Linked DNA regions of Schizosaccharomyces pombe. The gene in region 3 interacts genetically with the main gene of each other region. Each region holds a gene or a part of one and is shown on either strand. Other genes may lie near its edges.

Evidence for each region.
Region 1: mutations in SPOM_SPBC1348.10C (region 3) and SPOM_SPAC977.05C together harm fitness more than expected from each alone (negative genetic interaction), as found in Schizosaccharomyces pombe (one large-scale study listed by BioGRID).
Region 2: mutations in SPOM_SPBC1348.10C (region 3) and prs5 together harm fitness more than expected from each alone (negative genetic interaction), as found in Schizosaccharomyces pombe (one large-scale study listed by BioGRID).
Region 4: mutations in SPOM_SPBC1348.10C (region 3) and SPOM_SPCC965.13 together harm fitness more than expected from each alone (negative genetic interaction), as found in Schizosaccharomyces pombe (one large-scale study listed by BioGRID).

The regions. Positions count from the first base shown.
Region 1 is NC_003424.3:33,867-40,553, forward strand, and holds SPOM_SPAC977.05C (Vel1p domain-containing protein), read right to left. Parts: upstream 2,517-6,687; coding exon 1,902-2,516; downstream 1-1,901. Other genes in the region: SPOM_SPAC977.03 (methyltransferase), read left to right, coding at 1-406; SPOM_SPAC977.04 (uncharacterized protein), read left to right, coding at 483-950; SPOM_SPAC977.06 (uncharacterized protein), read left to right, coding at 5,565-5,982, 6,033-6,184.
Region 2 is NC_003423.3:1,278,065-1,285,852, reverse strand, and holds prs5 (ribose-phosphate pyrophosphokinase Prs5), read left to right. Parts: upstream 1-4,473; 5' UTR 4,474-4,503; coding exon 4,504-4,610; exon of another isoform or gene 4,611-4,660; intron 4,661-4,950; exon of another isoform or gene 4,951-5,032; coding exon 5,033-5,951; 3' UTR 5,952-6,101; downstream 6,102-7,788. Other genes in the region: mRNA-decapping complex subunit Lsm1, read left to right, coding at 769-832, 881-949, 998-1,113, 1,191-1,364; pig-A family phosphatidylinositol N-acetylglucosaminyltransferase subunit Gpi3, read right to left, coding at 1,528-2,327, 2,371-2,486, 2,530-2,807, 2,863-2,942, 3,003-3,099; phosphatidate cytidylyltransferase Ptp4, read right to left, coding at 6,480-6,821, 7,144-7,382, 7,420-7,495.
Region 3 is NC_003423.3:23,166-31,391, forward strand, and holds SPOM_SPBC1348.10C (phospholipase), read right to left. Parts: upstream 5,208-8,226; coding exon 3,255-5,207; intron 3,191-3,254; coding exon 3,122-3,190; 3' UTR 2,990-3,121; downstream 1-2,989. Other genes in the region: SPOM_SPBC1348.08C (glycoprotein), read right to left, coding at 1-364; SPOM_SPBC1348.09 (dehydrogenase), read left to right, coding at 1,751-2,461. UniProt on the Schizosaccharomyces pombe protein: Catalyzes the release of fatty acids from lysophospholipids.
Region 4 is NC_003421.2:2,307,168-2,316,235, reverse strand, and holds SPOM_SPCC965.13 (pyridoxal family membrane transporter), read right to left. Parts: upstream 4,738-9,068; 5' UTR 3,757-4,737; coding exon 2,143-3,756; 3' UTR 1,836-2,142; downstream 1-1,835. Other genes in the region: SPOM_SPCC965.14C (cytosine deaminase), read right to left, coding at 946-1,434; dpe2 (dipeptidyl peptidase), read right to left, coding at 8,694-9,068.

The DNA.
Region 1 (6,687 bases), on a different chromosome or scaffold from region 3:
GAATGTATTAGATGCCGGTTGTGAACCAAATAGAAATGCTAGATATTTAGCCAGTCTTGGATATAAAGTCGTGGGTATTGATATTTCCGAAAGGGCTATTTCTAAAGCAATCGATAAAACATCTAGTGAAAAAAGTAATGTCAACTTTAATCAACGCGATTTTTCAAGATTAAATGAATTCAAGGGGCATTTCGACACTGTGATTGACATTGGTTGTTTTCATTCAATTCTAAATAGTGATCATGAGCCACACACAGCTTCGTTAAGTCATATATGTCACTCTGATAGCTCCGTTTTCCTAAGAGCGTTTAGCGAAACAAACAAATCACGTTATAGACGGTGGCAGGGCCATAAAAGGTATTCCCTCGCTTTAAAAAGAAACAATGTCAAAAAGCTTTCTTTATAAACTATTGGAAGATTGAAGACATTAAAGAAGAAAAGTCCTGCTTACCCTTGGACTTTTTTCAGCAGTTTTCATTGCCATGCCTATCAACCAAAAGTTTTATTCATATCTGGTAAAGCGAAATGGTGGTGAAGGTGAACCTGAATTTCGACTTCCTATGGGTTTTATTGGAATCACACTTTTTGAAATAGGAATTTTACTTTTCGGTTGGACTGCAAGATATAAGATTTTTTGGTTTGTGCCAACAATTGGATCAGCCATTATGGGTGGTGGGTACATTATGACTTCCAATCCCTTAAACATGTATGTGGTAGATTCATATGGAATTTACTCAGCCAGTGCGTCAGCGGGTGTAAAAATATTTCAACTATTATTAGGAGCCATCTTTCCATTATTTGCTGAAAGTCTATTTCGTCGACTGAACTACGGATGGGGGTGTACTTTACTTGCCTTTATTTTATTAGCTTGTGGCTGTAGTCTTCCAATCTTATTCAAGTATGGAAAACAAATTAGAAATCTACGACCATTTGACCCCTCAAAATACTAGTTGATTTAACTGATCAAAGTGAGGATTTTCACACACATTTTCAGAGTACTTGGAACGTGCCGAGCTGATTAAAAAACACCGGTATTAACAAAAAATTTTATTTATGAAGCAATACGCTATTTCGTTATGAGAAACTTGATTCAATGAAACTATTATAAACCTTAAAAGCGACTTGAGCTCAGTAGCTTATAACATTTTATTCAGCATTATGTTTTATGTTTTCTATTTATAGAATCATTAGTCTTTAGTTAGCCTTACAGCTTCATCTTGCACAATAATTTTGGCTGATCAACTCTTATTCTAGGGACAGTTTGAAAAATCATACCTTGTCTCGTATTTTAGACTTTTAGGATCTGTGGCTCTAATTTGTGACAAAGAACATAATTACATGTTGGACCGTACTTAACGCACCTCAGTCCTTCTTTGATCTCTTGGCTCTGTGAAGATAAACAAAACGTACAAATCCGTTAATGGTTATAACGACGATGAGAATACTCAATACTCGGTAAAATCAAATGTGTTGCTGTTCATTTTAGCGTACTGCCTAGCGCGGATTTGTTTGATAGACTCATTCCAAGATTGTCGATCTACTACGAATGATTTGCAACCGCTTGGAAGCCGAGTAACTGTTTGTCGCTAACTTAAAAGATTTCCTGTTATGCTTTTTTCACTAGTAAAATGAAGTATGCTATAACTTTTCCTTACCATTAAAACACAATAAAAAGCGAAAAACACATAAACAAAATCAAAATACTTATGAATTCCGTTATTTGTTAGAAAATATGTTTAGTATAAGTTTAAAATAAAAAAAAAAAATAAAAAAAACAATTTACAATATTTTATCTAGTATAAAGACTTTTATTGCTTAAGCGTTTCTAATTAAATGTTTTTAGAGGATAAATTTAACCCCTATTTTTAAATCCCACGATTTAAATAACGATTATATATATATCAGTTGAATCCCTCATCCAAAGGACAAACTGGTATAAGTTCAATGGGCTGACACCAACTTGGCATGCCTTCCTCGTTATTAAAAACATTGATTGTAGGACTATCTAACAATAACGCAGAGAATCCGGGAGTACATGTTGCTACTTGAACATTATATAGAGTAGAATTCATCAGTTGGTTGCTAAGACCCGTTATCCGACTTGAATTTTGTGCTGTATACGCCCATGCATCAAAAGAAATTTCACTGGTAACAGTATTCACAAAAGGGATCATTGCATTTTCAATACTTTGAGGATTGCATGTTTTCAAATACGTTGTAAATGTCAAGGGAGTAAAGTTGGCCGTGTCGTTTTCAGCTATCGTAAACAAACGTGGAATAAGTCGAGGTTCTTGTTCCAACATACGCTGAAAAAATTCACCTTTACTTTCAGTCAAAGCATCAAGACCTATAAATGATTTTTCACCAACGTATGTAGCATTCGTTCCTACTACTTTCAGTAGATACGTACCACAATGCGGACCGCGTAGTCTACTACACTCAAGATCAGTGAGGTTGAAGCGTATGGCGGTAGCGAGCCCAATGAAAAAGAGAGATATTAAGTTTTTGAAAATCATATGGAAATATCTTTTGAATGTTTGTAAAGAAATGTTTGATTTTAGTCGGTTTATATAGTTTTTTTTTTCTTTTTTCAGCAACAAAAATAGATTAACTCGTACATATATAAAATGAGATATTTTCGCGTAGATCATGATCGTCGCAATTTCAAACGTTGCAAATCACCTTTTTCTTTTTGAAATGTCACCAAAAGTGGTAACAACTGCAAATCGTTGAGGTAACGTGGTTTTCCCACTAGTCAATAACGAATACCAATTTTTATGTGATTGCGAATTTATCGGCGAGTTGTGACACATTTGTCTCAGAAAACACACGCTTTTTTGGTCTTTTCTCTACTGCTCAAATTTGTTGCTCTTTTTGTTGTGTAGATCTTCCCTCTGATTTTCAAACAAAATTTGCGGTTTCCCACCCATTGTTATCAACGTCTATTATTCTTGGAAAATCTTCCATTACATTATTGAATTTGAATAACGAGGCCAAAACAAACAAATGAAAATCTGCTAATTCACGAAATGGTACTGGTTCCATTAGATAAGGAAAAATTCGAAAAAAAATTATGTTTCTTCAGTCGTAGTATGCCTACTGGATTATCATTAGCAATATGAGTAGCTTTTATCCCGTTTATTATATTATAAACGATTCGGATTCCTATCGATTTATTCTAAAATAAAATACCCGTCAGTTATTTACTTGGATTTTAACTTAGAAGCCAAAAAACGAATCTTCAACCAGACTGAACTGGAAAACATTAATTAAAGAGATTCTCGGTTGTAGATAGTTGTAATTGTTTCTGTTTCTGTTCTGAAAACTTGTTAATATAGTAATCCCCCACTCTTTTTCCATATTTAGTCTTTGAAGAAAGCGAAGCAATTCTTATACTACTCGTCTTTAACGAGTTGCATATATACCGCCCTATTTTTTTGCAGTTTCCTTTAAAAAATCTCATTAGAATGTTTCAATGCATACTTAATAAATCAATTTTATCAAATGCTTTGTTGTGAATATATTCTTAAAACTCATTCATTTCTTGTAAAGAAATCTTTCTTTATATGAAATTTGAAATATTCGAAATTTCATCTTTATAACTAGGTATTTCTCAATACTTTTACATAAATTAAGAAGGGAAAAAATTTGGGTTTCCTTTTTAAATCAGTTAGAGGCGAAACCTCTAACGCTTTTCATGGCTTCGTGTTAAATGTGTAATTATTTTTAAGAAGAAATACAAACACAATTAACAGATGTTGCATAACATTACTTTAGATTTGAATTTCACCTCTTAGATATCATCCATTCACATGTCAAGTAGGTGCAGTTTGTGGTTAACATATATTATTACATCTGTATTTAACAAAGTCTAGAGCAAAGAAGATATTTTCAAAATGCTGGAAGGAGAAATTTAGAATGTATGACTTACCTTGTGAAACCCTAGTATATTACGTTTTCGTAGTAAAACTAGTAGCAGGTGAAATTTTAGAGTAGTTTGTTGACGAATGTTTGTTTCAATTTTATCGCTTAAAAATTAAATTTGTTTTAGATTCATCTATTTCCATTATAATTTTTCTTTTTTGTAACATTATTCAAGTAAGGTTATGTGTATCAAAACAATAACTTCTGACTAACTACTCGAATAACAACCAAGTATTCCACTATGATTTTTAATGATGAGCCAATATTCAAGATTGATATAATTTCCAAGAGATGTTTACAAATTCCAGTTTATAATTCCCTTACGCTTTTCTTCCTCTGTATCTCTTGAAAGCCCGTTCTACTGCATTTGCTAAAAATGCAATAAATGTATGAAAGTTAAACTCAATAATCAAAGTCTTTATGTAGTATTACAGTTATGAATTATTGCGACATTTCATCTTCAGCCTTACTCAAAATCTGAAGGATTCAACATATGGCAATTTATTTGTTTTTATCATGGGAAGCACTAACGATGAAAACATCAATAGACCATAAATCATCATTTCTATATGAAAATGTAATATAATTTCTAATACAGGAATTCCTTCTTATACATTTATTTGTAACATTGCTTCATGCTTTTTTCCCTTTCATTTTCAGTTTTCTTTTGTTCCCAAATCCCAGAGCCATAATTTAAAGAAAATATGAACTGGCTAAGCGGAACCAAAAGTTTTCAGTACAATTGATCTAAAAGAGTTAGTCCGATGTATAGACTTAGTCGTTGATTCCTATTCTTTACTTTTTCGCAAGAGAATAAAATTTAGGTAGCGAACGATGTTGTAATTACATACGAATATAAATTTTTCAACGAGATTTTTTTTTATTTTTATTTTTATTTTTACAATTTTAACACAAACAAATCTATAGTCTTCCATTTCTTTTTATTTACTTTCGCAAATACTCACACCTTAAACATGATTTTTCGTGTCAACTATACTTAACTATATGCTTTATAATGCTGCTACGTAGTTAGGTTGTTCATGTTTATAGCTATTGTATGCGTACGATGTTTTCAACTATTATTTTATAAAATCAGCATACTATAGATCGAGTTTGATTGTACTACCATACATTATTATCATTATCAATGTGTCGTTAATAATCCTGTATACTTGCAACCGTGATGATGAACAATCCAACATAATTATTTACACACAAATCATAAGAACATGATTTTCATTGCAATTTATGGTATCCTTAACACTATTTACAGACTTTGAAGGGAACCGTATATTAATGCAAACTAAACCAACTTCGTTATATAGGAATTGCGATAAAAAAAGTTTGTAAGTATTACAAGATATTCACATCATAATGTTTTTCCCAAATAAATGAAACATCTCAGAACGTAAAACATTCACCAATTTTGATCTTTTTTTAATTCTTTCATTTATGGCTTTAAAATGTTTTATTATATTTTCTTATTATCTTCCATAAACCACACTGTTTAATTTTACATTGTAAAACATTACTAGTGGTGCTAAAGCTATCAAATTGCAGTGCTGTGGTTTTATTCCAATGTCAAATCCAGAAAGCGCAAAAAAAACAGGTTGACCCCCCCTGGTTACAATGAGTTATTTATGGTAAGAGATACTCGTAATGTGGACCTGGAGCGGGGACTTGAATTGTGTAAGCCTGAAAAGGTAAACAAACAAAATCTCTTTACCAACATCATCAAGCCTCAAAAAGATAAAATAAACATTAAGACAGATAAAATAAAGTTCTTTTTAAATAACCTTTTTACTGAATTTTCTAAATTTCATGATAGTTGTTATCCTGATGGTAGGATTTCTACCCGCAGTAAACTTCGTTGGCCCTTGCTTATTATTTGGTGTATTTTGATTGTTTTCGCAATAGACAAGAACTTTGAAGTCAAAGATTTTCTTTCAATTTGGATAAATGAAAGTTTTATAAATGAAAATCGGTTTTACAGTGAAATTTGGGGGCCTATTGCTATTTACATTTGTTTGTTTGTTTTATTGTTGCTTGGTTTAATTTGTATGTTTCCTTTACAGTGATGCCTTTTTTTTACTAATAATTTAAAATAGACTGCTCCAAGATTGTTGTAAAAGCTATACCATTGATCAGTATAGTTATAGCAGCGGTCGTAGTAATTATCGCGGTGGCTATGGTTAAAATTTTATACATCTGCCATTGGCTTCTACAAAATTTTAATTTTGGCTTTCGGCATAAAAGTTAAGCCATTGGGAGACACTCTTCCTACACATAATGGAGAAACAGGATCACATTCAAAGGCAACAGTTGGTTCTGACATTGAACAAATAGAATTTCAAAATATGCCCACTCCTGTGAAAAAATAATTTTCTTTATCGTTTTATGATCGAAAAGAATATAATCATCCTTACCAATATTTTACTGACTGTACCGTCCTAATCATGCACTAAAGGTGCGTCTGTTATGAATTTCAATTATGGAGTCAACCTAATTACGGTTTTTAATGAAGTATTATCACTTGATGTTACTAATGTTTTATCTTTCGTTTCAAGTCTAATCAAATACTATGAATGTCATTTACTGCGTCACAAAATGAATTCTTAATGATACATCATGAATGACTCGTTTTTAAAGTTATGTCTGAAAACTTGAAAAATGCAGCATATGGAAATTGTTAGATCGATTGATTCATTAGCTCAATAAATTCTTAAATTGCAAATTATATTCTGGCAGCAAAAAATCGAGTTA
Region 2 (7,788 bases), 1.3 Mb from region 3:
AAATGAGTAAAAAAAAAAGTTTTTTAGCGTTGTTAGAAATAAATAAAGCTTTTTGATAACCATACAATACATTATTAAAGGCTCGATTTTTGATTGTAATTAATAGATAAAAACAACTAAATTTATTATCTTTTTTCAGAACACTCCAAAAACGTTCAATGAACGTTCTAAGAGAATAATAGGCAATCTCTTCTCAGTCGAAATAGCTCAGAATAGGGATATTACAAATGGGATTGGCAACATTTTTACAAGTTCGATTTTGGAATTGATAAAAATCATCAAATTATTTATTTCTGTTCTTCGCAAAATGTTGAGCCTTTCAATGAACTAATCCGCTTATGATGCTGAAAAATTGTTAGGTAGCTTGAGTATAATTAGATTCCCTTTTTACAATCTGTGATCAAAAATATACATGTTTTTGTTCTTTAATTTTTGTGAAGACCGACTTCCCTTTATAACTAGAAAGTCAGATTACAACATTCAATGATGGGCAAGTTTAGAAATGGAAAAACCAAATAATTTAATTTACAATTAGCAAAAAAACATAACAAACGAATAACATTTAAACTTCAGAAGCACTTTTAGGGTTAAACAGGGAGAATTTAGGATTCCAGATTTGACGACCTCAGAGCACTTGCTTCTAACCATCTCCTCGAACTCGTTTTTTAAGGAAAACACTCAAATAAAGTCATCAGGCGTTTATAAAAGAAATAGAAAGTTAAATCTAAATTAAATTATTAGTTTATGCTACATCCAAATAATAGCTGAATGAATCAAGCTACACAGATTATCCCATTCACAACTTCTGGGTCACTTGTTGACTACGTAGACAGTACGGTGTTTTTTCCAATGTTTTCCTTGATCTAACTTTACCTTTTAGGAAAAGTGATTGTTGTTTTACGAGATGGAAAAAAACTGATTGGAATTTTAAGGTCCTTTGATCAATTTGGTATGGTTTGCGTGAATAGGCGCATAAGTGAGTTTACTAACTGTGTAGCAAATTTAATGTTGCAATACACGATTGAGAGGATCTATGTGGATGATATGTACGGGGACATAGACAGAGGTGTGTATATTGTTCGGGGCGAGAACGTCGTGCTTTTAGGTGAATTGGTAAGTTTCGTTTGTAACATAAAATATTCGAGCATCTTTATAAATTTCTTTGAACGTGGGCTAAATATTTCGAAAAGGATTTGGATAAGGAGTATGATGCAGTCAAACAATTGCGACGTATGCCTGCTGAAGAACTGTATCCTTTGGCGAAGCTTCATGAAGAAGAGAAGAAGAAAAATATACGTGAGAAGGGCAAGTACCTTCATTCTGTAGGCTTTAGTGTTGACGGCGGACATGATGATTTGTATTAGACAACGGTTGAACAAATTTATCACAATATTGCTATACCGTTTGTTTACAGTCACGATAGAAAGCTATCTCGACCGCTGTTTATTCCCCTTTTAAATGGATGTAATGTAATTTTTAAGACATGAATCGTCATAATCCCATTACCGTTCGTTCAAAGTTTAGTAATCATTGTGCATCTTTTAAACATGCAGTTTTTATCTTTGTCTTTTTTTTGGGGTCCGTTAATACCAGAGATTCGTCAAAGTTCTGCTTAGAAATTTTGAAAGTAGAGGATACGCGGTCAACCGCTGGGTCAATATCAGATGCTGGCCAAATCCATTCTAGTAAAACCATTACAAGATAATCTATAGCTATGAGTAAACAAAATAGCTTACCAGCCCATTGCCCACATCCGTAATAAAGCTTTAGACGGTCTATTAGTCTAAGATTATTCTCTGAACATATACTGTCGTAAACCTTTTCTGTCCTTTCCGCGACATCTATCCACGAGTACATTTGCTTAACCTCCTCATGGAAAGTTTCGGTTTTGATTTTATGGTCAAGATAATCAGTAATAACACTCGAAAGTGTATCAGCTAAATCATCCTCTTCAGGACGGGCGAATCGTGTCATGTGGGAAGGCAAGACTTCAGGAACACCTCCCACTTTTGTAGAAATCACATAAAGACCACAGCTTGCGGCTTCAACTAAAACAGTGCCGAAAGCTTCGGTCAAACTAGGATGTAAATAAATATGACCCCTGACCATCACATCACGAACTTGATCATGTCTTACAGAACCAAGCATTTCAACGCGATCCTGTAACATATACTTTTCTCGCATTTGTTCCAAATCGATTGACTTGGGTCCGTCGCCAGCAATAACAAATCGTACTTTAGGGTGTTGCGCACAAATTCTGGGTATAACTGCGATTAAAAGATCAATGCCTTTGTTATAGTAAAGCCTTGAGATTACTACTATGGTTACTAAAAATGTTAGATTTTTTCCTTAATAAACGAAAAAACTCACAGAAATCTTTTGAAGCTTTAGATGGGTCTGGCTGAAAGTTTTCCGCTACTAAGGCATTGGGAATCACGGATACTCTTTTTGGATTTAGAACTGCACGAAGCACCGTATTTTCGCGGCTTCTTAGTTAATAATTTAAATACTTGCTCATGAGATACTTACCAAGTGTGAGAGACACAAATAACATGATTTACATCGCTCATCGTAAATTTTAATAACTTATTTGTAACGATGCTGCCAGCATCTGCAAAACCAAACAAAGAGTGGTCGGTAAAACAAGTTTTCAAGCCCATTGTACGAGCATGCAGAATAGCATCATGGCATAGAAAGGATAAACTGCCATGACCGTGGACTATTTCGATATTTTCTCTAATGACTATATTGCGGAAAATTGGAAAAAAGGAAAAAAAGGAAGGAAATGTTGTTTCACGATACACAGTCTGCATTGTTTAGTTTCAACGCTATGCGCGATCAAAATTTCAATTAAAAACTTACATGTAACGGCACGTAGTAAACGGTTAGCCCATTAGTTAAGTATCTGACGCCAACTCGATCCTTATAAGCATGTGTGATAACTAATATAATGCATGTTAGAGCATGTACAAGTTGACATTATCATAAGGCTAAACGCATACCAATTACTTTATGCCCTAAATCAATCAATCTTTGAGAAAGCTGAAAAATATGGCTTTCAATCCCCCCAGGTTGAGGAAAGAAGAAGTCTGATACCATTCTAAGCATACAAAGTTAGCAATCTATTGAACGTTGGGATTTCAATCTAAGAGAAAAGGTGATTTATAGAAGCTTATTGAAGCCAGTATATTATCATAAGAATGTTAAAAAATAAAAAATGCTATAGGCTTCATTTTGTACTAAGAAAATCTCCTTAACAAACAATATTGATTGTGAAAGTTGCATTTCAAAACATACGCGACCCTGTATCCCATTTTAGATGAATTTTAAACTTTTTTATTCATTCAAAGAAATTTTTGGTTTTTTTTAATCTACTTTGGGAGTTGTTTACTCTTCAATGGCATATTATTAGAAATTTGGGTGAGTGTAAGAACAACAAAATTAGTCCCAAATGAAATCAGCCTTTCACAGTCAATTGAGGTACAGAAGTGTTTTGAAAGTTAAATAATAAACATATTAATTTCTATGAAAAGCAATGACTTAAAATCGTGTTCTGACATCAAAGAAGTAAACAGAGTAGGATTTAACAATTCTTTAACGTATAAGAACACCCTAAGTTTACTTTAAATAAGACTTTGAGAGAGGCTGCTTTACGGCAAATTATTCTCACAAATATTTGCCAAGCTATTTAATGTTGAGAAGGAGGAAGTATCGCTTGAAGTGCTTGAGTTGTCAAAATCGTTCTGCAGCCCTTAGTTGCTTTTTTTTTAAAAAAAAAAATAATTCTATAGGTGAAGACAATTGGATGAAACAGTAGTTTACGACAGTTTACAGTATTAAAATCAATCTGCACCAATCTATTCAACAATGATTCAAGACCATTTTCTCCATTTCACATTGAGCATATATCCACTTCTTTTGAAACAGGTAATCCTGTCAAAAAGAAAAACACCTTAAATGTGGTATTTTTTTGATGTGTGAATCTTGTAAACCTGATTACCATAAAGGCGAACACAGACCAAGATGGAGATTGTACGGATATTATTTATTTTCGTGAATTTTACAAATTTGACGCCTAGCTAAGTGTGCTTATGCTGTCCTCCTCAATATGAACTTGTTTGGACTTCTTATTGACCGTAATATCAACGTTGGTTATTCAAATCTTCTTAAAATAGAAGTTACAAATTACACCTATCATATTAATTAAATCTACTTGCTGATGTCGAAAATCAAGCGAAATAGCTGCAAAAGGAAGCTAAATTTGGACGATCAAGTCGAAGTCATTAAGACCACTCCTGATCTGATCAAAAATTGTAGGGATGGTTCTTAAGTTTAAAAAAGTTTTATTTTTTTAAACTAAAACATTCCAGCGCCTTTTTTTAACCTACTATCCCAAGTTGTGGTTGCCGAGGCTTTTCCCCGGACATACCAAACAGAGGTTTTTTCGATGAGTTTGGAAGAGCTATTTAACCTGAACAAGGTTGTTTCACCTAAAACAGAACAATGAAAAATTTGGTTGTTTTTGGTACAGAATCGCATCCCAAGCTTACAGAAAGTATTTGTGAACATCTTTGTCTTGATATAGGCCGGGTTGAACTTTCAAAGTTTAGGTAAGAAAGTACATTTGAGTGTTCGAAGAGTTTGTAGCAATTGGGAGGGTTGGAGTTGCCTATAAATCTTCTATTTATAATGATTTTCTTTAAAAGCTAAAGTCACTACTGAAAGTATGCCGTTTTACCCAACCATGATACGGGTCGATAGCTATCAAAAATTTTAGATAGTCGAGTAGCTTGCCCCTACTGACAGTTTTATACTCGCACTTTCAGTCCATTAATTGTTAATTGGTTTTTACTTTATGTTTAATTCATAATTATTTGATCTTAGTCTCTATTTAGTTAATGTTTTTAGTGACTGATAAAGATTTGGCAGCATCATCTTTGAATGCATACTCTTATTCCATTTTTGATTCCACCTCTTTATCACATCTATCTATGTTTTTCTATTTGATTATATTAACGTGTATTTATTGCAGCAATGGCGAGACTTCGGTGAGAATTAAGCAGTCCGTTCGTGGTTGCGACGTTTATATTGTTAGTCCAGCATCTGGACAGGTAAACGACCATTTAATGGAACTGTTAATTATGATTTCTGCTTGTAAAACAGCATCTGCTAAAAAGGTTACCGCCGTCCTTCCTGTATTCCCATATAGTCGTCAACCTGATCAAAAATTTTCCTTTTCCGGTGCTCCTTTATCTGACTTGCAAGATGCGGTTGTTCCATGCAAAAAGCAAACTGGTTATCACCCATGGATTGCACAATCCGGCACGCTAGTAGCTGATTTGCTTATGTGCTCTGGTGCTGACCATATAATCACAATGGATCTTCATGATCCCCAATTTCAGGGCTTTTTTGACATCCCTGTAGACAATCTTTTTGGCCGACCATTACTTAAACATTACATTTCTCTTAATATCCCGAATTATCATAACGCAGTAATTGTATCTCCCGACGCTGGTGGTGCCAAACGTGCTACTGCTATTGCTGATGCTCTGGGTTTGGACTTTGCTTTAATTCATAAGAATCGCCGACATGAATACGGAACATCTTTGATGCTTGTTGGTGATGTACAAAACAAAGTCGCCATCCTCATCGACGATCTTATTGATACCGCTTACACACTAGTTCGAGCAGCAGAGTTTGTCAAAGAACATGGAGCTAGCAAAATCTATGCTCTCGTCACTCACTGTGTTTTATCAGGAGATGCTATTGAGCGTGTAAAACTTTCTTGCATTGACAAGCTTATTGTTACAAACACCGCTCCTCAAACTATTACACCAAGTGGATGTTTTGACATAATCGATGTCGCTCCTACCTTTGCGGAGGCAATTCGTCGCATACACAATGGTGAGAGTATTTCAATACTGTATGACCACAATCAAGTTTGGGTTTAACTGTACGTTGTTCATATTATTTAATTTGTTTTGATCTAGTTGGCTTAAGACTATCCGATTTTTTTTGATACTATCAATTGTCCTTTTTCTTTACTTTAACTTTAGACAGTTACATTGGAAATAATTATTATTTACTTTGAGTTGACAAAATGATTATCAAGCTAATTTCCTAAAACTAATTTCAACTTAGCTAATCTCTAGTGTAAAACTGCTAAATATAAGGTTCTTCACGACCATTATATATGTACAAGCTATGTAGAAACTATATAGGCAGTCTAATTGCACGATTTCGTCATGTTTCATACAAAAAGCCTAAAATTGTCTGGGTAATGAAGCTTGTAGGTATTTCTATACATTTTAACAGTATGTACGCATACTGGTTAGACGGAAAAAAGATGAACAATAGAAATGGTGATAAATGGAGGAGCGAATCAACAAAACATAACTATATTCAATAATTTTTCAAACGTGGTCGGGAAAGGACGAATGGAAAAAACAAAAGAATGTCAGTATAAAAGAACATGGTTATCACATGATTAAATATAGTAAACAGGCAGAAACGACAGGAATTACAAGGTTATCGTCAAGACCCCACACATCCATAGCTTCTGCAAAGGCACCAATAAATCCATTTATCAAGCAAAGCCAAGGGAAAGGAATTCTGCTTTGAGCGGCCAAGCTGTCAGGACCGGTACGAAACAAGCCCCAGTACACATAGCAACAAAAAACACCACAAACGAATGCGCCCAAACTTCCAGCCAAACTCTTATTTTTGGCAATTTTCGGGGTATACTTGCCCCATTTTCGACCAACGGTTGAGGCAGTAGTGTCACACCATGACAGTAAAAGGACACTCATTACTGCTATCTCCTGAACTTAGTTAGTAACTATGGCATAATATATAAGTAAAAGAAGAAGGAAGGTGAAGTTAGGAAAAGATCAAGCAAGGCAAAGTAGATTTGAGTAATCATGATCAAAAATACTAACTTAAACTCTATGCAACAACAATATGCTTGGTCTGACAAATACTTAGAATAGAAAATCATTCTCCGTGAAAAAATGGGTTCTATAGAGTAGTATGTCCAGTAAAAAACAAAACCCTTCGGATCGCCTGGAACAAGGAAAACCATATCTTCCTTTTTCTTAAAGAATAATAACAGTAATGATAGACATTACAATGACTTTTACTTACCTCTGGAAAAACTTTTAAAACAATCCATACCCCGATCATATAAAAAATAACACCATTCCATGCATTTTTTTCGGACTCTCGCATCAAAGGACCAATAACGCGATTGTAAAGGCGGCTGAAAGCTGGCCAGTTAAAACGAATTACATCTCCAGTAAATGCAGGTATGAATCCAATTTCTATAACCGGTATGATTTGAGCAGCGTGGTATCCACATCCCTGAAGTAATAGAGCAAAAAATCCTAGACCCGGTTAATCCAAGTCATAAAAACAACTTACCAATAGAAGTATGGAGTGCTTTACGGGGAATTTCATGCTTTTTGGACCATTGCGACCACGTCAATTTAGTCGACATTGGATGAGTATTCGCTCAGTAGTGTTTTCCAATCTAAAGGTATTTCTAATGGGTAAAAAAAAAATAGCGATACCGGCCGTGATGCAAGGAATCGGTATATGCGAGGCAAGGAATGTTCTCGCATATAGCTCACTATTTTTTTATCGTTGCACTATTCCTCCTTATTCCGTAAACATTATGAGCTAAAGTCAAAATTAATAGAATGAATGACTTCCTGAGAGTCCCAAAAGAAACCGATTTATTTCCTTCATCAGTTGGAAAAAATTTATTTATTTATCACTGCCAATATAAGA
Region 3 (8,226 bases):
GTTCTACTATTTCGACAGTTCCAGATGTAATGCCCTCTGCGGGAATCGTTGTGGTATATTCAGTGGAACCAGAAATAGTTGTTTCCGTAACAGTTCCTACTGTGGACACAACGATAACGGGAGAGCTGTGCGATTGCGTGCTTGTTGTGATGGATTTAGTCGAGGTGGATTCAGGATATATTGTTTTTGTGTCTGGAGACGTTCCTGATGTGTAAATAGTGGTATACTTTGGACATGAAACAGATACTTGGTTTGTTGTGTCACTTTGTACACTAGTTGAGCTTGCCGAACAACCAAATGTGGAGTAGTTAAAAAAATATAGTTGAATGAGAAAGATGGTACGAAAATAAAGAAAGAAGTTCATAATGAAAAAATATCAAATATTTCGTTTGAAAAAAAAAAAAAAAAAAAAATTAATTAAAAATAGTATTATTTCATCCAAGAGATGCAATTTGGGGTGTTTAAGAATGACAAATCAAATGCACGTGAATATAATATAAAAATAATTTTCAATTCTTTGAAAAGATGTCAGTTGAAAATTTTTATACAGAATATCACTTGATTTTTTCTTTTCTTTTTCTCTTAAAATTCAAGTGGTATAGCATCAACGGTTTTCCCGTCAATCAGAAATTTAACAGAAAATCCTCTTTCTGCACTTGAATGAATATGATACTGAGAACGTGTTGCTAGAGAATAATAAAAGCACTACTTTTCCATACTAGTTTTTCTTATATATACATTTACAACCCGTTCTATCAATATATTTTAATTCTTTATTGAACGCGGAGCAATGAGAAGATATTTCTAATTAAGGAAAACTGTTACTACCTCAGGCCAACCTAATATGCTATTCTATATTAAGGAATAGACTACGCGCGAATTCAAAAATTCTCTGATAACGACTTTTAAATAATTTTATGCAACATATTAAGGCACATGAAATTTGCCAATTGCCTTCTTCAAGAATGTCGCACGTTATAAAAGTTAAGTTAAACAGTTTAGTTTCTGGTAGTTTACTTTTTCCATCTAAAAGAAATAAAGAAATAGTGATTTTAACGTGTCTCATTAACTCTATCTTAATGTTGGATTAGTGTAAGATAAGAATATATTTTTTGCTAAATTTATAGTCATCCATAACTTTGTTCCTTTCATGCTTACCAAAGTCTTTGTTTGATTCGTCTCTAGGCTTCGTAAAAAAGCAACAACGGGTAACAAGGTGATTGCAAACACTATATTTATCTGTCTCCCAAAATTTTCTTTGTTTTATTTTTACTTAAAATTAGCTTGTTTGCTATTTATATTTATTGCATGGTTGGTTTATAAGGATTCGTTTTATAATCCCGTGCGTTCGCAGCAATATTGAATGTTAACAATGAACCCGTAAATTTATAAATTTGAAAAAAGTATATTGACTATACGATTTAAATGTACTAAACTTTTAATAGCTTTCATATAAGGAAGCCAATGTCTTGTTAATTGTAGATTTTTTTTTTTTGGCAATTAAAATTCATTTCACTTTCATCATTGTTTTGCATTTACGACTGTCTATCGTTTCTGTGGAAGATGTAAAAGTAAAGCAATTTAAATAATTCCTTTCCTCTGAACAGAGAAAACAAGAAATAATTTTTTTATAATTTTATTTTTATTTTATTTTTATTTTTCAAGTGTTCTTATTCGCATGATAATTGAATATACTAGTTACCAAACTATTTAAAAAGCTTATATTTTGCAAACATTATTTTTTGCTACTATGCGTGAACCCAAGAATGCCAAAGTGCTAAGCAGACTTGAAAATGTTCTGGTGACTCAATTAGATGTAAATAACTTTTCTTCGATTAAAAAATCTGTGGAAAAAGCAATTTCGCATTTTGGTAGAATCGACGTGTTACTAAATAACGCTGGCTATTCCGTCTATTCTCCACTTGAAAGTACTACCGAAGAACAAATTCATAACATTTTCAATACAAATGTGTTTGGCGCTTTGGAGGTTATCAAAGCAATAACTCCTATCTTCCGCTCACAACATAATGGAATGATTATAAACGTATCATCGATCGGAGGAAAGATGACATTCCCACTTGGATGTTTGTATTATGGTACCAAGTATGCAATCGAAGGTATTTCTGAAGCTCTGACTTGGGAAATGCAAAGCATTGGTGTAAAAGTCAAGATTATAGAACCTGGTTTTACAGCAACTGAATTTAGGGTTGAAGAGGGTGCAGGTAAACATTATGCTGAGTACGACAATCTGAAACAAAAGTTGTACGAAGACTTGCTACCTAAATTGAAAACAGCTACACCACCGCAAAAAATCGCAGAAGTGATATTGCAAGCGGCAACGGATGAAAGTGATGAGCTACGATACCCTACTGGAGATTATGTTGTTGAATGGATGGCATTGAGAAGCAAAGTTGATGATGCTACATTTTTAGCAACACACCGAAAACAAATGGGTCTTTAAACGATTTCGTTCTACCAATTGAATATTCCTCTTTTACTGTTTTTTGTACCAAACTGTTGATAAATCTTTCAGCATTTATTTAGTTTCCTTCCTTTAGGAAGTTTCAAAATACAGTAAAATATTTAGTAGTGACTCCTCATATATTGAATTAACAAGTCTCTGTCTTACTTTTAAATGTTTGTAGTCAATTTTATTATTATCTATTTTTTAAAAAACCGGGAGCTTTTAAAACAATCTATCATTTAATGTTCATCATTAGCACAACGATCTTGGACTATTTTTCATTCAACTTGTGATTCCCAATTGTACGTATATATCAATTTAAAGCAATGTTGTATTTAATCGTTTTCATGCTTACATTCTTTCGTTTCGTGTCTTTACGTGAATGCACATCGATCTCAGATTGAGCCAACTAAGCCTGTTCATCCATTCGACCGGTTGCATTTATCTAAAAAAGTTTAGAGATAACAAATTATTCATTTACCCGTTTACATAGCTCCATCAAACGTAAAGGGTTTAACTGAGCAGTCTCACGAATGAGGAAAATCCTTAGTTCTCTTTCATAACGAATTCGTAACCAAGTACAATAAAGGTAAATCTATCTATTCTAAATTTCTCACATGCCTGAGAATCCATTGAAACAACATCAATGGAATCTTTTTACGGATTTTCTTTCGCTTCGAAAATCGAGTCCCACCAATGTTTATGAGTGGGAGTGGCTGATGCTACCTAGAACAAAAGTTAGCGATGAAAAAAAAAATAGTTTAATCAACGTGAATTTTTGAGAACATACAGATGAAGATGTTGTACTAGAGGCTGTACCCGAGGTTGTGCCTGACGGTGCACGAGATGTTGTCGCAGCAGACATTACGGTAGGATCATATACAGAAGCCGTACTAGTTGCAAGAGTTCCGTCCCAACAGTATTCTTGGAAACAAGAAGAGCACTGGGTAGGAGTACTCAATTTCTTGCGTTCCAAAGAGCGTTGAATTATAGCGCATGCTAAGCAAACTGCAAAAGATTCATTATTGTTTTGCGTAGTCGACATAAATGCATTCTCAAGAATTCCATTAGCCATCTTGTCGTCCATGCTCATAGTAAATGTCGATATATTGGAATAATAAGTCCAAGGGTAATTTGGAAAGTATACAAGGAGAGGTGGGGTATTATTGTCTACATCATGATTTCCTGCTGTAGTATTTTTACCGTCACATCCAAAAAACGTAGGACGAGTGTTTAGTCCCAAAGAGATAATAGTGTTTTCGTCCGGAATATATGGAAATCCACGCACATCAACACTCTTGTTCGCATTAAAGGTTACAACTCTCTCATATGTAGCAACAATGGAAGATCCAAGGGGCCAACCATAAGGATCATTATAAGTCGAATCAATCGCAAATACAACGTCCACAAATCGTTGTGGGTGTAACAAAGGCCAAAGGGGAATGTTTTCCCTATCCTCACCACCATCAACTAGATCAATAGTATCATACGGTTCGAACGCATTCACTACAGAGGTATTGGAAGTAGTATAATTTTGGTAAGGATTGGGATAAGGAGCAATATCATCTTGATGCTTAGAAAGATCTTCAAGAATCGCATGAAGAATATCGTAATAGGTATCATTCTTTTTGACATTTTCATTCCAGTCAAGAAGAAAAGAGTTGAATAAAGTAGCTGAAGTGCCCATAACAAAACCTGCATTATCATAGTTATGAATGCAAGACTTATCGGGTGGAACCCCATCCAACAAGTGAGTTCCCACATATTCCATTGGAATGAATGCTTTAATTCCATTGTCCCATGTACCAAATTCATACGCCGTGAACTCAAAGATACTGGTATTGGCAGGGATGGCCGTTTCTTCTTCTAATCGGCTATCCGCAACGATGATGGGATAAGGATAATCAGCATTTTGAAACCAGCTTTGATTTCTCATACTGGAATATGTAATGCCTGGTCCTCCCCTTTCAGCATCAACAAGTTTACGGGACAAAGCACGTCCCCATAAATCCGTCAAAGAACAGTCAAAGCCCGCATGTTTCTTTTGATCAATTTCTTTGCGCAAGTCATTATAATAATTCAAATTTTCAATGACATTATCCCCATGAGGAGCAAAAACGCTATGTTCCAAATTCCAGACATTATCACGTAAGTATGTTATATTCGTAAAATTATTAATAGCCACTGATCCAACAAGCCATGAACCACCAGAAAGACCGCTGATATACATCGCGGATTGCAGCAGACCAGAAAGTGGAGAGTCACTCTCGAATCTTGAGTCAAAAGCATTGAATGCACCACCTCCATTAACCATCGCCCGTAACCCACCACCTGAGAATGCAATTCCTAAACGTGGACCATCCGAGCTGTTAACCACCTTATCCAAGTCAACATTCAAACCTGTCTTAGAAATAAATGATCGGAGTTCACTGTTAACCTTAGAAATACGTTTGTTGATATAGCTCTGTTCGCCCTCATTTAAACCTTCAGAAGCCGGCCTCAACAGATTGTCGTTTGAACAGGTCACATTGAAAGGGGCATACGAAGCGTCGGTACTTCGTTTTACGAGCGCAGGTTTCCTTTTAGACAAAGTGTAAAGTACGGATGTATCAATATCTTGTCCTTTATACGAACTAGATTCTTCAAAATCATATATTTCAGAAATCTCCACACGACCGGGAGGATAAGCTAACGTCAACGAAATTTGAACGAAAGCAAAGAGTCCAATATAGTTGACATACATTGCAGAAAATAAAAAAAGTTCAAACAAAAGCTGTAAAAATTGAAGTTCGCATGGAAAAGTGTACTACACGGAAGAATATTAAATCATATATTACTCTGGCGCACTACACATCTCTGATCCGGAAGAAAGAATTCCGAACTTTAAAAGCCCCAAAATTTGTCGCGTTATCTCAAGATCTGTCTACAAAAGTGATCTTAAATACGAAACAATGCTTGCTGCAAAATTCGCAAACGTTAGGCGGATACAATTTAGTACGGCAAGCTTTTACTTTATGATCAATGTTACCTTAAATTTCTATTGAGTAACAAATGTTACAAGATATGTATGCGAACAATAATACCAGAAGCTGATCGCTCATCATCGAATGGAGTTAATTACTTCGCTTATACAAAATAGTTTGTTAGTATTACGATGCATAATCTGAAATGGGAGCGTGTAAGGGAATGATCTGATGATCACGTATTGATTATAAATATAAGTAGGAGGATGATAGTAGGGACATTCGATGTATGGTGAGAGGCAACGTAATCTAGTGTACTAGCGCGGATACACGAAAAAGAAAACGCCAATAAAATGCATAGCGAATTCATGATTCCACGTTTAACACATTGCATGCATTTCAACTAGCTTAAGTTATTTTGATCTTCATATACTAGGGAGAAATAAGTTTTGTATTTTCGAGTAGTCTTTGTTCATAAATCCTCGCTATTATCACAATTATTCGACTTTCATACATGTAAATATCTTTTCGCTTGACCTCGAGAAAACAAATTTGTTTGTTATTTTTTGCAACATTTGACATTATTTTATGATATGTCAATAGTAGTTTTAATTGCTCGAACGTACATTTGTACTTTTTGTCACACCTGCTTAAGTTGTACATCGCGGTAATTTCTTATTATTAAAGGCCATTAACCTGATTGTCTCTTTAGATCTCTCTTGAATTGTTTGTTTTACTGTATCTTTCCGAAACAGTACATAAGGTTGTAACTTTTCCACACTAATTTCCTAATCATCGTTATGCACAAAACATTTAGCTGAACAAAGTTTGATAGTTTTTGTATGGCAGCTTGTGATGCCTTTTTATTTGTTCTACTTTTTCTTCAAGTTGGAGATAAAAGAGCACTTTTTAGTGATCAATTATGCTTTAGGCTTATAGGTCGTATTTCATTTCCACGATCAATAATTACTTGCTCATTTACCCACATCAAATCTACATCGTGTGCATTGTATTTATATTCTCTACTCATGACTACCAACTATAAGCATTGAACAAGAATATGCTGTTTCTAATATTTGTCATTGTAGCCAACGTCGTTTTGGACTTGTTTCAAAATGATAGTGCTAATAATTGCATTTATATTTAATCATTTTTGGATTCATTTTTTTCTCATTTGCTTGATTAAAAAATTAACATTATTGTTGAATATTCTTTTACTGCTAATCGCCGTTTAGTATCGCTTTTATACTGCCGTTCTGCTTCTCGACATTATGCGACATAAACTTAACTTTTACAGAAATATTAATCTCACGAATTATCTACTCATACTATATTCCTATATTGGTATAAATCTTTTTTTTATCTAATTTTTGAATTTGTTAATCAGCAATTTGATCAACTTCTATTCATGAATATGTTGCCTACATGACGCTTTTCAATTGCACAGCAAAATTTAGATAACGTTTTAAATAAATTCACGTATTCTATAGCACGTTACCTAACGTTACCAAGCTGAGCAATAAACTTGAGATGTATTGTATTATCTCTTGCTTCTTTTTGTCTATGTTTATTTTTATCTGTCAAGCTTTCTTACATGTATGATTTAACATAATTTGGTTATTTATGAGATGCCGCAAAGAGTAAAGCGAAAAAACTGCATGGAAAGTATTGTCGTTATTCAACACATAATATACTAAGCCGTACACAAATTTATTTTTGTTAAAGATATATGGTACAATATGTACGGCTAGGCAAGTGCAAAATTAACTTCAGTGTTCTTTTATAACCTTTTTATTTCCAAGTAACGTTTTGACATGGGCGGATTTACTATAATCGTTTTGATGCGTCAGCTTTAAAAATACTCATCCGTGATGTTTTAGCATAACTTGTTACGCAGTATAAATAATTTACAAAACAGATCGATATGTTCAACTTGTTCATAAGTGGTTTAGTCGTTCATTTTAGTAACAAAATTCAAGCATTACCGTCAAGGTAAGTTTTGTATAAAAATAGGTTGGTTAGTCAAAATTTTTGATTGATAAATTTCAAACTCAAACATTTAGTGGCAGTAATGAACAATCTTTGTGGTAAGGTACTCTAATATTGCTCTATCAAGGTACGTTATGAAATTCAGAAATGCAATAGCTTAGCCGCCAAGCTCGTACTTCTAATGAAGAGATGTGCATTAAACATGGATCTAATGCTTTAAACTAATGAAATCCTTTTGAGAATTTCAGACCAATTGATATCGCATACAACACAGAATCCCTTGGATAGTAGACTCAGTGGCTGCTGTGTTATATGATCTGCGAACAATAGCAATCGATATTAAATAAAATGATTAAAGAAAGCTTTTTTTATTACTTGAAAATTTACAGAAGAACTATATAAATTTTACTGTTTATGTCCTCTTGCATCAATGAGCTCAGTTGCAGATGTTCGAATTCGTAATGATTATACATTTCCCGTCAGTTGAGAACAGAAATTATTGCCTGAAAAAATTTGAATTAAGAGCTTGCCTACAGTCGGGCTCTATTTTCTGCAATTTAAACGTGATGATAAAAACTAATGTATATCCACCGTAGAAGATAGAAATATGAAGAGTACACTAATGGTGAAAATTTTGAGCAATGTAGAACGAAGAGAGAGGGCTGCCTTTGGTTGATAGTAAAAGAAAAAAAGTAAAGCTGTAAAAGTCAGGATTGACAATGACAAATTGATTTTGATCATTACAGATACGTAAAAAACAAAAGAAGCTTTAAATTCTTGAAAAAGTAACAATAGTTAAAAGGAATGATT
Region 4 (9,068 bases), on a different chromosome or scaffold from region 3:
CAGAATACTTTGATAAGATTAGGTCTTATCATTTTCATGTAGGATTTTTGATATTGTTATCTTCATCGCGGTGTAATATGTTAATTCCCCATAAAAATTTGCCGACTTTGAGTGCGCCCGAAAGAAACACAGTAGGTAATAAATCTCTTAGAGTTGTAGTTTGATGCTACTCTGTTGCAAAAAGGAGTGACACTTCCTTTTAATATGTGGAATGTAATAAAATTGTGCGCGCTTGAGTTAAGAGTTCAAGTAAGAATGCAAAAGCAATTATGCTTTGAAATTGTTTTGAGACTTGGTCATTTGATTTAATTAATTTATCTACTTTTTAGTAAATAAATATTAAATAGCACAAAAAAAATGATTATTCTTGGTAAATGATTGATTCGTGAAAGTAGGGTTAAGTGATCCCAACAAGAGTTATGCTGAAGACCTTCATTTTTTGGATAATTTTCGCGTGTGTAATAAACACTAAACTGTTTCCATTTTCTAGGAGGATTTAGCAATAAACTGAGAAATTTAGTCCAGTCAGATTATATTTACCATACCATTATACACTTTCTTTTTGGTGATATGAGCAAAAAACCCACTTTGGTCACTAATGATTTTGAATAGGATCATAGGCATTCGGTTGAACAAAAGCGGCATTAAAAATTTTAATTTATAAAACGAATTAATCTTGTAACTTGCCTGAGGCCCGTATTGATATTTGTATACCATGGCAAGAAAGTAAATATTGTACACGAAGATATATTGCAATTTGAGCATAGAAGTAATTACAGTTTTAATTACTAAGAAGTTCAATTGGAGGAAATAGAATAATTACATTTGTTCATAAACATTGAACAGAGTCTACCCTACTAGCTAGCAGAAACGATAAAACGTGTGGACGTATTAGCAAAGTTTCAAGGAATATGCTTTTGACATTAACATATGAGATTGAAGCAGCTATCTTCCTCCATCCCAAAAGCCTTTATGAGGGATAATAGCTTCATCTTCAATGTAGGGACCCACCACCTCAATAGGATGAGAGGCAGCTCCAAGAATATCTCGTGAATTAATGTATAAAGGCGGGCACTCACCACTTTTCTGTGTCAGTTTAATCAAATTTTCGTTCGATAAGCCAAAAATCATTCGGCGAATACCAGACCAAAATATAGCACCAGAACACATGGCACAAGGCTCCGTGCTGGTATACAGAGTACACTTCTCAAGGTCTCTTCTTGTCTTCGTAATCAAACCTACGGCACGGGTCTCAGCATGTTGAGTTACATCCCCGTCTGGAACTCGATTTCCCGCAGACATAATAACATTGTCATTTTCATCAACAATAATGCATCCAAATGGATGTTGACCTTCATCACGAGCTTGCTGAGAAACTTTGATGGCCTCTCGTAGATAAGCTAAATCCTTTTCTGAAAGTTCAGTGCTGGACATATTGTATGTTAAAAAAGAGACGCAGGTTGTGTTTTGACTATATGTATGTAATTTATAAATTGTGTTAATTTTTCCAACTACATGTTCAAAGAAACGACATGCTATCTATTGCTACTTGGAATTCGGGAATTGTCGATGAATCGGTTGACATCGATTATGATCGCCGTTCTGGAAAGACAATGTAGAGCAGAAGAGGTCAGCTCAGTGTCTGAAGTTAATACATCTACACAGTCGGTCTACGCTAAAACCATCAATGCTGTTTCGGTCGTCCAGAATACATGGGGATTGAAACTCGCATTTCCAGTCATCATTAGCCGATTAGGAATATAATACTACATAATCTATTAAACATTGCTATTTTGCAAGTATAAACTACTGTGCGACTAAAAATTACGAGTGCTATAAGGCAGCTTTTTAATAAACGTAACTTTTTAAGCTATATTTTTTAAGACGACTGTAATTTCAACTGCAATAGCTGTAGTAGGACAGATTTCAATTAGTAAACAATAACTAGTACAAAAAAGGTAGAAAAGAATAGCGAATTATCGACAAAAAGAAGTAGATGCATATTGCCAAAAAAGAAGGGGTACATACATAATCGGGTGTTCACAGTAAAAGGAAAGTTGGATGAGTGTATATCAATACGAACATAACAACTTTTACATATGCTAACATGAATGATAAAAGGGAGAAATGATGGAATAAACACTACACTTCAGGTAAAACCTTGGCATCATGTGCTTCTTGTAATGCTTGTTGAGTAACGGCAAGTCGACTGTGTTTCCGAATGAGATGACCAAAGAAGTAAATAACATAAATCGTGGCCACAAGCGACAAACTAATAAAAGCCAAAGTTGCCATGGCCCAAGTGGTAGTCATATTGTCAAACATGATAATACCAAGATGTACAAGAACAGCAGCAATAGCAAAACTTGGTAAAGTGAAAGCAGCGATGGCGGAGCCAGCAACCGATGGGTAGGAATCAGTAATATAGTTAATCATGGCAAGCCAAAGTTGAGGATCACCAACACCTAAAACACCACCTGCAATTAAAGGACTTACCCAAGAAATTCGGCCATCTGAAGTAAAAGCGAACCAAAACAAGCCTGCTGGGAAAAACCAAACGGTAAGCAGAGAAATCAAGAAACGTGCTTCTGGACGCGCTACACCTCCATGACGCCTTTTATCCCAACGATAAAGCCAATTTTGAATGGGTTGAAGCATAACAACGATGGTGACACCAACCAAAAAGTTCAAATAAGTGAGATTTGCACCCATGTATCCCATTTTGTAGTTGTCGACAAATACGGGAAACAGTCCATCCAAGTAAAGGAAAATCAAACCATACGCAAAGCCGTTATACAAACCCAAAGCCATAATGATAGGCTCTGTACACAAAAGTTTAAAAGCGGTGGATAAGACAAATTTTGTACGAACTACAGCTGATTTAGCTTTGGCAAGAGTAGAGACTTGAACGGTTTTTTCTCCAGTAGTAGAAGAATAGTTCATGATGTTGATGACAGGTAAGGTCTCAGGACACAATACGCAAAGAATTACAAAGAAACCACCAACAATCATATTCATCCAGTAAAACCAACGCCAATGATCATAAAGAGCCTCACCAATGGGGGACCCAATAGAGGCACCTGCATTTGCACCCCAAACAAATAGAGAGATACCAAAACCGACGGTTTCAGGAGTGAAGATATCACACATACTACTTGCAACGTTAGCGAGAGCAGAACTACCAAAGGCACCAGCAATAGCACTGTTGATTGCCATCATGGGTAAGTTATAAGCAAGGGCTTGGGGAATTTGGAAAATAATATAAAGAATTAGAGAGCCAACATAAACCCATTTACGACCAAAAATATCCGACATGGGACCTAAAAGCATGGGACCAAAAGCATTACCGACAATGAAAAGACTTTGTACAAGATAGGAGACTTGAATACTGCAATGCCAATTAGTTTGATAAATATCAAAGAAGTTGATACAGGCGGTGGATGACCAAATGACATATACCTCTAAAAATGTGTAAACGGTAGCAACAAACAACTTTTTCCACAAGGGCCATTTATGAGGATGAGCGGGATGGTTGGGATCAATGGACATAAGAGCCTTTGTGAGATCCCAAGCATCAACATTTTCCACCGAGCCCTCTTCATCCTCCGACATACTAGGTGACTCATGTTTCTTGTCTTTGGCAGAAGTCTCTAGTTTGTCTTCGGTAACGATAGTTTGCCCGGTCAATGGAGGCTCCTCTTCAACATTCTGTGGTTCCACGTCGTGATGGGAGCGGATGACATTAAGAATTGACATCGTGTATCAAAAAATAAAAAAATAGAATAAGAAAAGACAGCTAGAAGAAAATGAAGAGTATGCTGCAACGTACGCAGTAACAATCGACGCAGAAGCAAAAATGGGAGGGGAATTAGGAAGAAGAAGAAGAAAAAAGAAAAGGAACAGAAATATAATATATGTATAAAAATCTATATGTCTTATAAACACAGCAGGAAGAATTAACTTGCTATGTAAAAGTTTGTAGGGAACGAGTTCAAAATAGGTAAATCCAAAGCAGATAAAAAAGGGGATCAAGACAGTATAGAGAATTTATAAATAAAATAAAACTAATCAATGATGAAGAAAATGGGAATGAAATGCTTATCGACTCTTGTTTTTTTTTTTTAAAGTGAAAAGCAATAATTGAATCCAAGGAAAGAATACTAAAATTATAAAGTAGAGGGTATAGGGTATTTAGTATAGTATAGAAATGAATGGCCCAAAGAAAAAGTGGATTGCCAAATTAAAAGAAGAAGAGTAAAATTAAACAAATTGAAAACGATAACTAATTATACACACCACAAAAGATACACACACACACACAAAAAAACCCACGCACACAGATACACTCACACAAGCAACAGAAAGACCCAAATAATACAAAGTATGTCTTGAATAACAGACGAACCGATAATCGCTCTCACACAAAGTCCGTTGGGTGAAATAAAATGGGGAGTGGAGGAAAAAGAACAAAATATTCTTTTTTGCTTTATTATTTTTGATTCTGTTTTTTTCTAAACCAAGAAAACAACAACAGCCCTGATCCCTTCTTATTACAAAAGCTAAGCAATCAATTTGCTATGTCCTACTTTTTTTTCCGCTGGTTTTCCAAACGCAATTCGCAACTCAACAATGCCGGTCAATATCGTTTTATATGAAAAAATACGCAGTCATCGAAGTTTCAGATACTTTTGCTTTTGCAATAGATATGCCTTCAAATCTTAGATAAGAGTAGAGGACAAAAAACAATTCTATGGTACAATCATCCTGACCCTACTATTTTAAAGATGAATCTAGCCACCCCAGTCCAACGTAACTACCGCCCCTGCTACCTTGCCGATGCAAATGTGAAGATTGCAGGTTAGGGGAAGGAAACACGTTAGAAAAGCTTATCGTTTTTCCGGGAGCAAAACGAGGAAAAGAGGAAGAAGAGGAAAAACAGGGTAAAGGACGTCGGCAGGGCAGCGGGAGTAGGGCAGCAAAAAGAGAAAGGAGAAAAGAGAAAAGAAAGAGAGAGAGAGAGAAAAAAAAAAAAGGCAAGAGAAGAGATGAGTAAAGTGGATAGAAGTATAGTAGAAGAAGAAAAAGAAAAAGAGGTAAATGGTAATTTTAGAGTTAAATTGTAAATGTTTTGATTATTAATTCTTTCATTATATATTCTTTTGTTATTTATTTTCTCTTTACTCTTTTACTCGTTCCTCGTTAAATTTCTCAAAATGTTTTCTCTCTTCCGCTAAAAAAATTTTCTTCTTCTTCTCGGTTGGCCATTTTCTTTTTTCTTTTTCTTCTTTTTGCCTCCAATCTCTCTTTGCTGAAATCATTTGATTTTCTGGGTCAAATACATTTCCATTTATTGGTTCATTTACTACGATTATCAGTCTCTCTTCCATTTTGTTTAACAAGCTTATACCTCAATTTACGAACCAACCCAATTTCACTGCAGTAACAAAATAATAATATCACACATTTATTACATCCCAGCAATGCGTAAAATCCGGTACTATGGAGTATATTTTTAATACAAGTATATCGGGCAAGTCAAGAAGCAAAAACAAAGACAAAGAACAAGACACTATCTAATCATTACTGATAAGAATGAGATTTTTTTTATGTCGTTACACACACCGTTTTCGTATTCCACTGCATTGCTTTTGCTTGGTGCTTTACATCCTCGTTTCCCTGTGCGGTTGCATTCCACGTGCTAGAGATTAGCGAGTGGAAAGTGACAAGCACACTAGTCCGTAAATTCGTATCATGGAGAAAGATGGAAAAGACAAGGCCCATTCCATTCTTTTTGAGTCTATATACAGGATGATGGCTCTAGCTATCAAATGAATGAGTAAGATTTGTAAGATGGAGATAGGTGTAGGAAGGATTGGGTTGGTGATGAAGGGATGCGTAAATTGTAGACGTAAAGATGTAGGATGAAAAATAAAATGGGATGAGAAAAGGCTAAGGTCGACACTATGTTTGTCATGGGTTGAATAGGTCAATGAGTTGAATAGTCAATGGACGATTGACTATGCACAAAAGCACCATTGATTGTTTGAATTGATTTATCACAAAGATGATTGATTCATCATGTCTTTGATTTTATTTTACATTTCAAAATTGTGTGGTGCTATAACACACCTCTCTTTTCCTCCTCTATCGCATTACTCAGTTCTTCTCTCTCTTCCTCGTCTCTCATCGCTATTTCCTTTCAGCTGCTCTCTCTCTTTTTCTCTCGCTATCCCATTTGCGACACCCTCGGCTTCGTTGTCATGAGGGAATTCCTCGGACACCCGGTCCACGACCGGCAAAGACTTCGGCAGAAACACGGTATTCCCGAAACACTTCCTCCGCATTTTTCTTTCCCCCCTCACCCCCACATAGGAACTTTTTCAAAGTTGTAGTCAGTTCCTTTTAGCTAGTAGCAAAGTGGTTCATGTTTGCAGTCGACTGGGGGACATGGGTCTATGTGGGGGATGTACATTTACCAAGATGGCTGGCATCTACGGGAAAAGGTAAGCCAGCCAGGCAAAGAAAACAATACTGAGAAATCGAATAAAGGGTGAATCTGAAAAGCACATACAAACATACGCAACCCTTAAGGTTTCCTTGTTTGTCCTTTTTTTTTTTTTTTTTAAGATTCTATTTTCTGTTCTCGTTATTTAATCTATTTATTCAATTTATTCATTCATTTTTTTGTTCCATTTATTTATTATTCATTCATTCATTCATCTTTTTTTTTAATTTCCTTTACATTTTCTATGCGATCCTTGCTTTACGACTTCTTGTGCTCCCTTTTTGACATGTAAACAATGTGATTGGAAAAATCATCCAGCTCCGGTAAAAGTGGATCGCATCCGTTTTCCTCTTCACAACTTGAAATCGTGTTCAATAAGTTCTAGATGTGACCTAAGGAAAGAAAAGCTTTAAAGTATACAATTGACCGATGCACGAATCGCTTCAACAATTTTTAAACGTGTGTAGATCGACTTTCCTTCTTAAACTATCATCTTATATGTACTTACTCAAAAAGTAATTCATAACTAAAAACAAAAATTCTACTGCCGACAATGCAACAAGATGGATTTGTTGAGAATTAAATTAGCATACATTTCCTCCTTACATACTTCCTTAGCCATGTCTGTGAAAAAGTAGAATATGTATAAAAATGATCTGCAAATATGCAACTACAAATGAACATGTTATACAAGGGGAAGCCAAGTCAGGCCTTGTTGCATGGTATAGCTAGCTTACCTGCCAATGTTTCTGCAACTCAAAAGAAACTATTTGGTAATTACCATCTATCGTTTATTTTTTTCTCCACATCAAATTAGTCATCCCGCATCTAAAATCCGTTTTAATATTTTATTGCACAAGTCATGTGATTAAGGTGTCCTTTTGAACATGTTTGATACGTTCGTTCAAATGATTCAATTAGCTATCTTTGTTTTTTATAATATGGTCCGGCTTTATGCAATTTGGACTCTTTATAAAGATAAGACTATTGACATATGCGACTTTTTCTCTTTTGAGCATGTATGCAAATTTACCGTTATAAACGTTTTTTTAAGACATGCAAGGAAAAAAAACCGTAAAAAAGTAAAGTAAAATAAAATAAAATGATATAAAAAAAATAATAAAATTAATTTAAATTAAAAATGCGAATAGATTGTAAAAAATAAATAAAATTTTAACAGATGAAAATAGAACAAATATATTAATTTACTTTGTTTAAAAAAAAATTTTTTTCATAATCGATATGATGTTGCAAATACTTTTGGTAAAATAAAACGTAGTAAAAAATATTATCAATTAATCGAATTTGATCATTCACAAATTTCATGCTCAAAAGTCTACACTGACAAAATGTCGTCTTCATTATTTTACTTTTTCTTTTCATTAACAGTTAATCATAAAATTTTTCATAAAATTACCATATAATTTACTATTGTTGAAAAACATTGTCTACGGCCATACCTAGGCGAAAACACCAGTTCCCGTCCGATCACTGCAGTTAAGCGTCTGAGGGCCTCGTTAGTACTATGGTTGGAGACAACATGGGAATCCGGGGTGCTGTAGGCTCCTTCTCTTATTATTGCTATTTTATTTTTTTAATTTTATTGTTTAAAGATAGATTGTGGGCCTTATGCCCTGTTAGCTTATTGACAAAATCATGTATGGTTCAGTACTTTGAATCTCTGTGACTTTCGAACAAATCATTGCTTCATTGCTTACAAAGTAGTAGATTGATAAATTGCATCAACATATCAAATTCTCGCATGCTTCTTTTTCTTTATTTCATATTTCTCTAATTGTCTTATTGCTGATTCCTTAGCGCGATTTTCATGTAGCAAAGTGCTTCTTTATGTGGGTCTGATTGCTTGCTTATTCCATTGATTTATAAAACACATAATTTTATTCAACGTATCTCTACTATAACTATACTGATTAATAGAAAAACTTTTGTAAGTTCATATTTACTTGTCGAAACTACACAATGTGGATACGAACTTAACCGAAATTGCAATCGGTCCTTGTGATCTTCCTTGGGATAATTCATAGGTTAAAAATCAGTAGAATGAAACATGTTATTGGGTATGAAAGAAGGACATGCTGCTAAAAACTCTCTGATGACTTATTTTTTGTAACCTCGAAATGAAAGCTGGTTACTTCACCTTCTTAAAAAGTCAACGATCCTTATGATATTATTTCTCAATGTTCAAAGGCTGATCATAATTCCAAACAGTACTCTTTTCATTCAGTTTATAGGCGTCTGGAAATAGCTCTGGAAACTCTTTAGCATAGCTGTAAAACTCCCACTTTCTTCCAGACCAACTTGATTCAATGGGCTCCAATTTTTTAGATAGTTGCAATGCCACTAACTCGGTCTTTTTCCAAACCCGGAGCACATTTAAACCCATTAATCCTTCAATTTGTTCGTTTGTGGCATTCGTCCTTTCAATTATTTTACAGATCAAATCGGGATATTTAGAGACGTCTTCCAATCCCTTGGGGCCTTGGGGAATTCCATCGAAATCGGATCCTAAACCGACATGCTCCCAACCGGCTACCTTTATGAT